3 linked regions of the Callithrix jacchus genome follow. The protein of the gene in region 2 purifies or fractionates together with the protein of the main gene of each other region. This does not show direct contact. Links are inferred from orthologs where the notes say so. Each region holds a gene or a part of one and is shown on either strand. Other genes may lie near its edges.

Region 1 (3,652 bases), on a different chromosome or scaffold from region 2:
CGGAAGAAACTAATAAATTCCTAGACACTTGCACCCTCCCAAGCCTAAACCAGGAAGAAGTTGAAACCTTGAACAGACCAGTAACAAGGGCTGAAGTTGAGGCAGCAATTAATAGCCTACCAACCAAAAAAAGTCCAGGTCTAGATGGGTTCACAGCTGAATTCTACCAGACGTACAAAGACGAGCTGGTACCATTCCTTCTGAAACTATTCCAAACAGTACAAAAAGAGGGAATACTTCCCAAATCATTTTATGAAGCCAAAATCATCCTGATACCAAAACCCGGCGGAGACTCAGCAAGAAAAGAAAACTTCAGGCCAATATCTATGATGAACATAGATGCAAAAATCTTCAATAAAATACTGGCAAACCAAATACAACAGCACATAAAAAAACTTATCCATCACGATCAAGTAGGCTTCATCCCAGGGATGCAAGACTGGTTCAACATACACAAGCCTATAAACATAATTCACCACATAAACAGAACCAAAGACAAAAACCACATGATTATCTAAACAGATGCAGAGAAGGCCCTTGACAAAATTCAACAGCCCTTTATGCTAAAAACTCTCAATAAACTAGGTATTGATGGACTGTATCTCAAAATAATAAAAGCTATTTACAACAACCCTACAGCCAATATCATACTGAATGGGGAAAAACTGGAAGCATTCTCTTTGAAATCCGGCAGTAGACAAGGATACCCTCTGTCACCATTCCTATTCAATATAGTATTGGAAGTTCTAGGCAGAGCAATTAGGCAAGCAAAAAAATAAAGGGTATTCAATTAGGAAAAGAGGAAGTCAAATTGTCTCTATCTGCAGAAGACATGATTGTGTATTCAGAAGACCCCATCATCTCAGCCCAAAATCTCCTTAAACTGATAAGCAACTTCAGCAAAGTCTCAGGATACAAAATCAATGTGCAAAAATCACAAGCATTTCTATATACAATAACAGACTAACAGAGAGCCAAATCATGAGTGAAATCCCATTCACAATTGCTACAAAGAGAATAAAATACCTAGAAATACAACTAACAAGGGATGCAAAGGACCTCTTCGAGAACTACAAACCACTGCTCAACAAAATGAGAGAGGACACAAACAGATGGAAAAACATTCCATGCTCATGATTAGGAAGAATCAATATCGTGAAAATGGCCATACTGCTCAAAGTATTTTCTAGATTCAATGCTATCCCCATAAAGCTACCAATGACCTTCATCAAAGAACTGGATAAAACCACCTTAAACTTCATATGGAACCAAAAGAGAGCCCACATAGCCAAGACAATTCTAAGCAAAAAGAACAAAGGTGGAGGCATCATGCTACCTGATTTCAAACTATACTACAAAGCTACAGTAATCAAAACAGCATGGTACTGGTACCAAAACAGATATATAAACCAATGGAACAGAATAGAGACCTTGGAGGCAACACCACACATCTACAACCATCCGATCTTTGACAAACCTGACAAAAACAAGCAATGGGGAAAGGATTCCCTGTTTAATAAATGGTGTTAGGAAAACTGACTAGCAGTGCAGAAAGCTGAAACTGGACCCCTTCCTGACACCTTACACTAAAATTAACTTCAGATGGATTAAAGATTTAAACATAATACCTAACACCATAAAAACCCTAGAAGAAAACCTAGACAGGCCGGGCGCGGTGGCTCAAGACTGTAATCCCAGCACTTTGGGAGGCCAAGGTGGGTGGATCACGAGAGATCGAGACCATGCTGGTCAACATGGTGAAACCCCATCTCTACTAAAAATACAAAAAATTAGCTGGGCATGGTGGCACGTGCCTGTAATCCCAGCTACTCAGGAGGCTGAGGCAGGAGAATTGCCTGAACCCAGGAGGCGGAGGTTGCGGTGAGCCGGATCACGCCATTGCACTCCAGCCTGGGTAACAAGAGCGAAACTCCGTCTCAAAAAAAAAAAAAAAAAAAAAAAACCTAGACAAAACCATTCAGGACATAGGCAAGGACTTCATGACTAAAATACCAGAAGCATTGGCAATGAAAGCCAAAATAGACAAATAGGACCTAATTAACCTCCAGAGCTTCTGTACAGCAAAAGGAACAATCATTAGAGTGAACTGGCAACCAACAGAATAGGAAAAAATTTTTGCAATCCACCTATCTGACAAAGGGCTAATATACAGAATCTACAAAGAAATAAAACAGATTTACAAGAAAAAAACAAACCCATCCAAAAGTGGGAGGAGGATATGAACAGATATTTTTCAAAAGAAGACATTTGAGGCCAACAAACATATGAAAAAATGCTCATCATCACTGAGTATTAGAGAAACGCAAATTAAAACCACATTGAGATACCACTTCACGCCAGTTAGAATAGCAATCATTAAAAAAATCTGGAGACAACAGATGCTGGAGAGGATGTGGAGAAATAGGAACACTTTTACACTGTTGGTGGGAATGTAAACTAGTTCAACCATTGTGGAAGACAGTGTGGCGCTTCCTCAGGGACCTAGAAATACAAATTCCATTTGATCCAGCAATCCCATTACTGGGTATATATCCAAAGGATTACAAATCATTCTATTATAAAGACACATGCACACATATGTTCATAGTAGCACTGTTTACAATAGCAAAGACCTGGAACCAACCCAAATGCCCACTGATGATAGACTAGACAAGGAAAATGTGGCACATATACACCATGGAATACTATGCAGCCATAAAAAACGATGAGTTTGTGTCCTCTGTAGGGACATGGATGAATCTGGAAACCTAATTCTCAGCAAACTGACACAAAAACAAAAAAAAATCAAACACCACATGTTCTCACTCATAGGCAGGTGATGAACAATGAGAACACATGGACACAGGGAGGGGAGCATCACACACTGGGGGGTCTGTTGGGGGTAGGGCCAAGGGAGGGACAGCGAGATGTGGGGGAGGTCAGGGAGGGATAACATGGGGAGAAATGCCATATGTAGGTGACGGGGGCATGAAGGCAGCAAACCACATTGCCATGTGTGTACCTATGCAACAATCCTGCATGATCTGCACATGTACCCCAGAACCTAAAGTACAATTTAAAAAAAAAAGGGGGTTAAAAAAAAAAAAAAGCAATTTACAGGATTACTTCTCAAATCTGATACATCAATTTGACCTCAACATCTAAGCATATCAAGGCTTCTGTCAAACTCTTACTTTAGATGAATGACTACAGCATGTTTTGCTTACTTTCCATAGCTTAAAAGATCCAAATTATGTTTCAGCATTCTTATCATGCCAGTAAGTCAAGCATTTTCACTTGACGAACTTTTGCACACTAACCTGCATGCCTTCAGAACTTCTGCTGAGCTGGGATATATGGACACAGACACTGATGGTATGATCTGAGGACTAGGTTTGTGGTTAACTAGAAGTAGATCTGTTTTCATGGGGCTCTGAGATTCTTCCATCCCTTCTCCATTAATTGTGTGTAGCCCACTGTGAGGGCTGTTAAGGCTGGTAACACTGTTTGTGGTTGTCTGCTCAGTGGATTTTGGAGAAGGTGTTGCTGTGGAAATGGCTGAAGATGGTGAAGAGGCAACAGAGTTATCAGTCTTTGTATGAACAGCTGGGTGGATGTTATTGACTTTGTCACAGGTTCCAGTACCCACATT
Region 2 (3,652 bases):
AATTTACTTTGTGATATTGGTGTTACAAAATAAATATAAAAGCAAATGCAGTATCGTTTTTGAAGTTTCCAATCATTTGCTGTGTCTGCTTGGTTGAATATTATGAATAAATCTGTAGGATATGCTATTATTCTCTTGACTAAGAAACTGTCATTCGTCCATTTCAGGAACTGTTGATCATGTTTGACCTAACTTTTGTTTTGTAGATCTTACAGACTCTTTCAGCACCTACGAAAAATTTGGAACAGCAGGTGAATCACAGCCAGCAGGGCCATACAAATGCCAGTGCAGTGCTGTTCAGCCAAGTGAAAGTGACTCCGGAGACACACATGTTACAGCAGCCGCCGCAGCACCCGGTTTTACACCTTCAGCCCCAGCAGATAATGCAGCTCCAGCAGCAGCAGCAGCAGCTTTCTCAGCACCCTTACCCCCAGCAGCCGCCACACCCATTTTCACAGCAGCAGCAGCAGCAGCAGCAGCAGCAGCAAACCCATCAGCATCAGTTTTCGCAGCAACAGCTACAGTTTCCACAGCAACAGTTGCATCCTCCGCAGCAGTTGCATCGCCCTCAGCAGCAGCTCCAGTCCTTTCAGCAGCAGCATGCCCTGCAGCAGCAGTTCCATCAGCTGCAGCAGCAGCAGCTCGCCCAGCTCCAGCAGCAGCAGCAGATTCAGCAGCAGCAGCTCCAGCGCATGCAGCAGCAGCAGCAGCAGCAGCAGCAGATGCAAAGTCAGACCATGCCACACTTGAGTCAAACGTCACAGGCACTGCAGCATCAGGTTCCATCTCAGCAGCCTTCACAGCAGCAGCAGCAGCAGCAGCCACCACCGCCACCACCACCTCAGCATCATCAGCTTTTTGGACATGATCCAGCAGTGGAGAGTTAGTAATGGAGATTTTTTTTTCCTCCTAAAAGTCTTGTACCCGCATAAATGCTTTGAGAGTGTTTGAGTGTTGGGTAAGGATTCATATCAAAACAATTATTACAAGATGGAGAATGTGAGCCTCATACCTGACTAAGAATATAGTTATCACAGGATGATTATGCTTTCCTTTATACTTTGGGACATCGTATGCTGAAGTGAATATTGGGTCCCATAGAACATCTGGGTTGCCCCAGGGACACATTTGGGTATTTAATGGCCAGGCATAATTTATTTTGCTTTTAGTTTTTAATGTTTGTTTGATGCAGACAGTTAACTAGTATAATTGTAGCAGTATTCCCCATGCACTCTGATTACTGGCAGATACATGGTAAAGACTGGTGAACATAACAGATTCACATTGTAAGGTGCCACTTTTTAACTTGTGCAAGCACATTTATCAGGTTTAATTTTCTTTTTCTTACATAATTTTATTCTAGTTCCAGAAGAAGCCTTCTTATTGGGATGTGTGTTTGCAATTGCGGATTATCCAGAGCAGATGTCTGATAAGCAACTGCTGGCCACATGGAAAAGGGTAAGATTGTGCCTGGAGGAAGGATGACTTTGTGTCTGAAGATGCTTCTTTCTTACGTAGACGTAACTATGTTCACTAGACTGCATTCGCTGAGCTGCGCCTACATGTGTTCTGATGCGTGACAGGCATTTTGATTAACATTCTCTGACCTCAGGCACAGTGCTTTTCTGGGCATCAGTTTTCTCAGCTGTTAGATGAAGATGGTGGACATTTTTTTTTTCCAGCTTGGAAATTCCGAGAGGTACTAATTATTTGTATATAATTGGGATGATGGAAATAAGTTCGGGTTTTTGGTGTCCTGGGAGAAGGACCATTAATTTGTATGCATCTCAGTCATTTCTCTTTCTCCAAAGGTAACTGTTAGGAATCCCGGAATCTCTAGAACCTCAAAGTCTTTTAGCCCAAATGTGAAACTAGTTCATTTATCTATTTATTATCTTGCATGGTGGCCTTTAAAGAAAAGACATGCTTTTTCTTTCTTGCATTCCACAGAATAATACTGAGTCAAAAAAACATTTTTTTTTTAATAAAAACTGAGTTTAAATATGCCTCTAATACATTTTTAATGTGCTTCACCATAAACATCCCTAGTGCTTAAATCCCTGCTATATGCCAAGCCTGCAAGACCTAGGGAAGGTATGTGAAATCGCAGAGACAAAGAAAGCCAAAGAGCTGTGGGAGACGCAGGTTGGCAGGTGCAGGCCGTTGTGAGAGCCTGAGAAGGACCCTCACCCATTGTGTTGTGGGGTGATGTGTTAAGAAAAGTCTACTGGGAGAGGTGATTCCTGAACTGCTTATGGAATGGCTAGGAGTAAGAATTAGGCGGGAAGGAGTTTGCAAATAGTGCAGCACAGGCGAAGGCATGTAATTGGGGAAACTGACAGGAGGGTGCAAAGGATGGTGCCTCAGTGGGATCCGCAAGGCAGGAGGGGGTACAGGAGCCAGGGCTGGCCTGTCTTCCGTGTCTTCCAAGAACTTGTTGATGTACCGTGTGGTGGAATTTCGATGCAGGTGGAGTGATCGGCTGTGTGTTTTAAGTAGTAAAGTGTTGAATCTGAGAGCAACCAGGGAGATGACTGTGGTCGGCTGGGGAGAGAGGCAAAGGACATGCCGGGGTGAGGGAGGGAGGGGCAGTTCTGAGAAGGGCAGCAGCAGAAACTTTTTAAAAGTCAACAAGTGTTCAAAGGCAACATTGAGAAACTGTCCTGAGAAGTACAATGAAACTCAAAGATATGAAAGTTAGTGGAGAAAAGTTTGGGTTTTTGGTCTTGTTCTCAAGTTAAAGGATTTATCTGAGAGGTCTGACATTAAATAGGAGCTTGGGAACAGAGAAAATGAAGGCAAAAACGTTAGGAAAGAACGTAGCTTGGCAGCTGAAGGCTGTGTGCCCCCAGATTGAAGAGAAATGGAAGGAGAGCTGTGATAAGGCTTCTGGGAACGTTCACAAGGCTGGAGAGAACACTTTTCTGTCAGACAAACGCAAGTTCCCTGGAAGGGAAACTTGGACAGATCAGGAGTCGGGGTGGTTTCAGGAGCCAGCGACAGAGCAGCAGCTTTTGTTTTCGAGGGGAAATAATTTCCAACCTAAATAGAGCCTGTTAGTCACAAGAAATGGAATATGGATATTTGTATACTAATGGTCAAAAAAGTACCTCCCTTGTATTCTTCCTTAGGAAGCCACTATGCCAGTAGAGAGTAAGATGTGGTAAGAAATGAGGGATTTGACTCCGAGATGGGAAGAGAATTGCCAGGATGGAGGTGAGGGGAAATGCCAGATGAGAAAGTAGGTGTGGAGAAAACCAGACTTGGGACCAGAAGGGAGGCTTCCTGGGTAGCAAACAAACAAAGGCACTGGTAGATTCCGGAGGGACGGGTACGGTTGATCCCTGAATAGTCTGGGCCCTAGGGGTGCTGACCGCCACGCAATCAGAGATCTGTGCATCACTTGTGAGTCCCCAAAACCTGAATTACTGATAGCCTAGAGTTAATCCGAAGCCTTAGAGATAAAGTCAGTTAATGCAGATTTTATATGTCTAATACTGTATTTTTACAATAAAGTAAGCTAAAGAAAAGAAAATGTTATTAAGAAAATCATAAGAGAAAATACACGTACTATTCATTAAGGGGAAGTATGTCATCACAGCGGTCTTCATCCGCGTCATCTTCATGAGGAGTGGGCCTAGGAGGAGGGACA
Region 3 (3,652 bases), on a different chromosome or scaffold from region 2:
TATACCCACTTTTTCCCACTGAACCACTGTTACTCTTGGTTTGCATATCTTTTTATCCTTTCTGATTGTCAAGTTTTGGTTCTAAAATGCCAAGTAAAATCTTTACAAAAGAGAGAATCATTTGAGATGTTGCCCTCTGCATATCTAGAAGACATTGTCCTTCAGGTTTCTTTTCCCAAAATTATTTTTTATTCCTGAGGGCTATGCTTCTGTCTTATTCTCAAGCTGTGGATTCATGGAAACTATTTCTCCAAATAGAGATTTGCATGTAAGAAAGTAAATGGAAATTAATAACACTTCAGTGCCCTAGTTTTATTTTCAGTGTGTATATCAGCTTCTGTTAGCTCCTGCTATTTACCAAACTGATTTACGTCTGAGGGGCAATTTTAATTCAGTTGGTTTCCCCCAAAGGATTAAGCCTCAAGGATGCGGCATAGTGTATGAAGCCAATGAATTGGAATAATTTTAAATCTTTCTTAAGGAACTGAGTCCTAGAATTTTATATTTTACTTCTGTTGAAAGAATAAAAAGCCTGTCTTCAATTCTGCTATTTTCAATAAAATCACATCTTTTTAAAAAATTATTCCTGTTCTAACAGAAGAAGTGAATCCTAAATGCTTTACTTCATTCACAAGTACATTGAAATATTGATTATGTCTACATGAGACCTGAATCCTGGGTGGCCAGGCACTTGCTGTTGATGGAGTTTTTTTCATTTCACCTGAATGTTTGGCTGGTATAGGCTCAGTTATTTTCAGTGCATAGCACAGAAAATCAGGCTGTGAGTACAGTCATGGTTCATTCAGACCCTGCACACCAAGGAGCTCTAGGTTTTTGATGCTTTGCTTTTTGCTTCCTTAAGCACTGTGTCCCTTTTGCTTATATCACATAATGAGGGGCTGCCCCATGCCACAGGAGTGGGCGTGCCTGAGCTGTTTGTGCATAATCTGTGCCACCTAGATGAGTATTGCTTGGCTATACTCTAAAGGTAGCAACATTTTCTTGCTGAAAAATCTAACTTCCCTGATTTGGGGGGCTTGTTTTAGGTTATCCTTCTCAACCAGTTGAACAGAGGCCACTTCAGCAGATGCCTCCTCAACTCATGCAGCATGTGGCACCCCCACCACAGCCACCACAGCAGCAGCCACAGCCACAACTGCCTCAGCAGCAGCAGCCACCACCTCCCAGTCAGCCACAGTCACAGCAGCAGCAGCAACAGCAGCAGCAGCAGCAGCAAATGATGATGATGCTCATGATGCAGCAGGATCCCAAATCAGTTAGGCTTCCAGTCTCTCAAAGTGTCCATCCTCCAAGAGGCCCCCTGAATCCTGACTCCCAGAGAATGCCCATGCAACAGAGTGGCAGTATGCCTGTCATGGTCAGTCTGCAAGGACCTACCTCCGTGCCACCATCACCTGATAAACAAAGAATGCCAATGCCTGTGACTACTCCTTTGGGAAGCAATTCAAGGAAAATGGTCTATCAGGAGAGCCCGCAGAATCCTTCCAGCTCACCACTGGCGGAGATGGCCTCACTCCCTGAAGCAAGTGGCAGTGAAGCACCATCTGTCTCAGGAGGCCCAAACAACATGCCGTCACATGTAGTACTTCCCCAAAATCAGTTAATGATGACAGGGCCAAAACCTGGACCATCACCCCTTTCAGCAACTCAAGGTGCAACCCCCCAGCAACCCCCTGTAAATTCCCTGCCCAGCTCTCACGGCCACCACTTTCCAAATGTGGCCGCACCAACCCAGACATCTAGGCCCAAAACACCAAACAGAGCCAGCCCCAGACCCTATTATCCTCAGACACCCAACAACCGCCCTCCCAGCACAGAACCTTCAGAAATCAGTCTGTCACCAGAAAGACTCAATGCCTCCATAGCAGGACTCTTCCCTCCACAGATTAATATTCCTTTACCTCCTAGGCCAAATTTAAACAGGGGCTTTGATCAACAAGGCCTAAATCCAACAACTTTGAAGGCCATTGGGCAAGCACCTTCAAATCTTACGATGAATCCTTCCAATTTTGCTGCCCCACAAACTCACAAGTTAGACTCTGTGGTAGTGACTTCTGGAAAGCAGTCTAATTCTGGAGCAACGAAACGGGCAAGTCCAAGCAACAGTCGCAGGTCTAGTCCTGGGTCCAGTAGGAAAACCACTCCAAGCCCTGGAAGGCAAAATTCTAAAGCCCCTAAACTTACTCTGGCCTCTCAAACAAATGCAGCCCTGTTGCAGAATGTGGAGTTGCCGAGAAATGTATTGGTCAGTCCCACTCCTCTGACCAATCCCCCTGTGCCGGGAAGCTTTCCTAACAACAGTGGGCTAAATCCTCAGAATCCTACTGTGTCTGTGGCTGCAGTTGGGGGTGTTGTTGAGGATAACAAGGAGAGCTTGATTGTGCCTCAGGACAGTGATTGCCAGAATTCCCAGGGTAGGAAGGAACAGGTAAACGTTGAGTTAAAAGCAGTCCCTGCCCAAGAAGTTAAAATGGTTGTCCCTGAAGATCAATCCAAAAAGGATGGGCAGCCTTTGGATCCTAACAAACTTCCCAGTGTTGAAGAGAACAAAAATTTGGTGTCTCCTGCTATGAGGGAAGCACCAACATCGTTAAGTCAACTTCTTGACAACTCTGGAGCTCCTAATGTGACGATTAAACCCACTGTGCTTACAGATCTGGAAGTAACACCTCCAGTAGTTTCTGGGGAGGACCTCAAAAAAGCATCTGTCATTCCCACATTGCAGGATCCGTCTTCTTCTAAAGAACCCTCTAATTCCTTAAATTTACCTCACAGTAATGAGCCGTGTTCAACCCTTGTGCATCCCGAATTGAGTGAGGTCAGTTCTAACGTTGCACCAAGCATCCCTCCAGTAATGTCAAGACCTGTTAACTCTTCCTCCATTTCCACTCCCTTGCCCCCAAATCAAATAACTGTATTTGTCACTTCCAATCCCATCACAACTTCAGCTAACACATCAGCAGCTTTGCCAACTCACTTGCAGTCTGCATTGATGTCAACAGTCGTCACAATGCCCAACGTGGGCAGCAAGGTTATGGTTTCTGAGGGACAGTCAGCTGCTCAGTCTAATGCCCGGCCTCAGTTCATTACACCTGTCTTTATCAATTCATCTTCAATAATTCAGGTTATGAAAGGATCACAGCCAAGCACAATTCCTGCAGCCCCACTGACAACCAACTCTGGCTTGATGCCTCCCTCTGTCGCAGTTGTTGGCCCTTTACACATACCTCAGAACATAAAATTTTCTGCTCCTGTACCGCCTAATACCCCCTCCAGTAGTTCTGCTCCAAACATACAGACAGGTCGACCTTTGGTCCTTAGCTCACGAGCCACCCCTGTTCAGCTTCCTTCCCCTCCTTGTACATCTTCTCCAGTTGTCCCTCTTCATCCCCCTGTCCAGCAAGTGAAAGAATTGAATCCAGATGAGGCTAGCCCTCAGGTGAACACCTCAGCAGATCAGAACACTCTTCCCTCTTCACAGTCAACCACAATGGTTTCTCCCCTTTTGACTAATAGTCCAGGGTCCTCTGTCAACCGGCGAAGCCCAGTCTCATCTAGTAAGGGCAAAGGAAAAGTGGACAAAATTGGCCAGATTTTGTTGACCAAGGCATGTAAGAAAGTCACAGGCTCT

Evidence for each region.
Region 1: the proteins of PAXIP1 (region 2) and KDM6A purify together in Homo sapiens (affinity purification with mass spectrometry; 6 studies listed by BioGRID and IntAct, with this or other methods). This does not show direct contact. The link is inferred for Callithrix jacchus from reciprocal best matches to the Homo sapiens genes PAXIP1 and KDM6A.
Region 3: the proteins of PAXIP1 (region 2) and NCOA6 purify together in Homo sapiens (co-immunoprecipitation; 6 studies listed by BioGRID and IntAct, with this or other methods). This does not show direct contact. The link is inferred for Callithrix jacchus from reciprocal best matches to the Homo sapiens genes PAXIP1 and NCOA6.

The regions. Positions count from the first base shown.
Region 1 is NC_133524.1:45,987,213-45,990,864, reverse strand, and holds part of KDM6A (lysine-specific demethylase 6A), read right to left. Parts: coding exon 3,321-3,652; intron 1-3,320. UniProt on the Homo sapiens protein: Histone demethylase that specifically demethylates 'Lys-27' of histone H3, thereby playing a central role in histone code. Demethylates trimethylated and dimethylated but not monomethylated H3 'Lys-27'.
Region 2 is NC_133512.1:93,231,114-93,234,765, forward strand, and holds part of PAXIP1 (PAX-interacting protein 1), read left to right. Parts: intron 1-206; coding exon 207-882; intron 883-1,363; coding exon 1,364-1,458; intron 1,459-3,652.
Region 3 is NC_133506.1:4,564,792-4,568,443, forward strand, and holds part of NCOA6 (nuclear receptor coactivator 6), read left to right. Parts: intron 1-1,046; coding exon 1,047-3,652. UniProt on the Homo sapiens protein: Nuclear receptor coactivator that directly binds nuclear receptors and stimulates the transcriptional activities in a hormone-dependent fashion. Coactivates expression in an agonist- and AF2-dependent manner.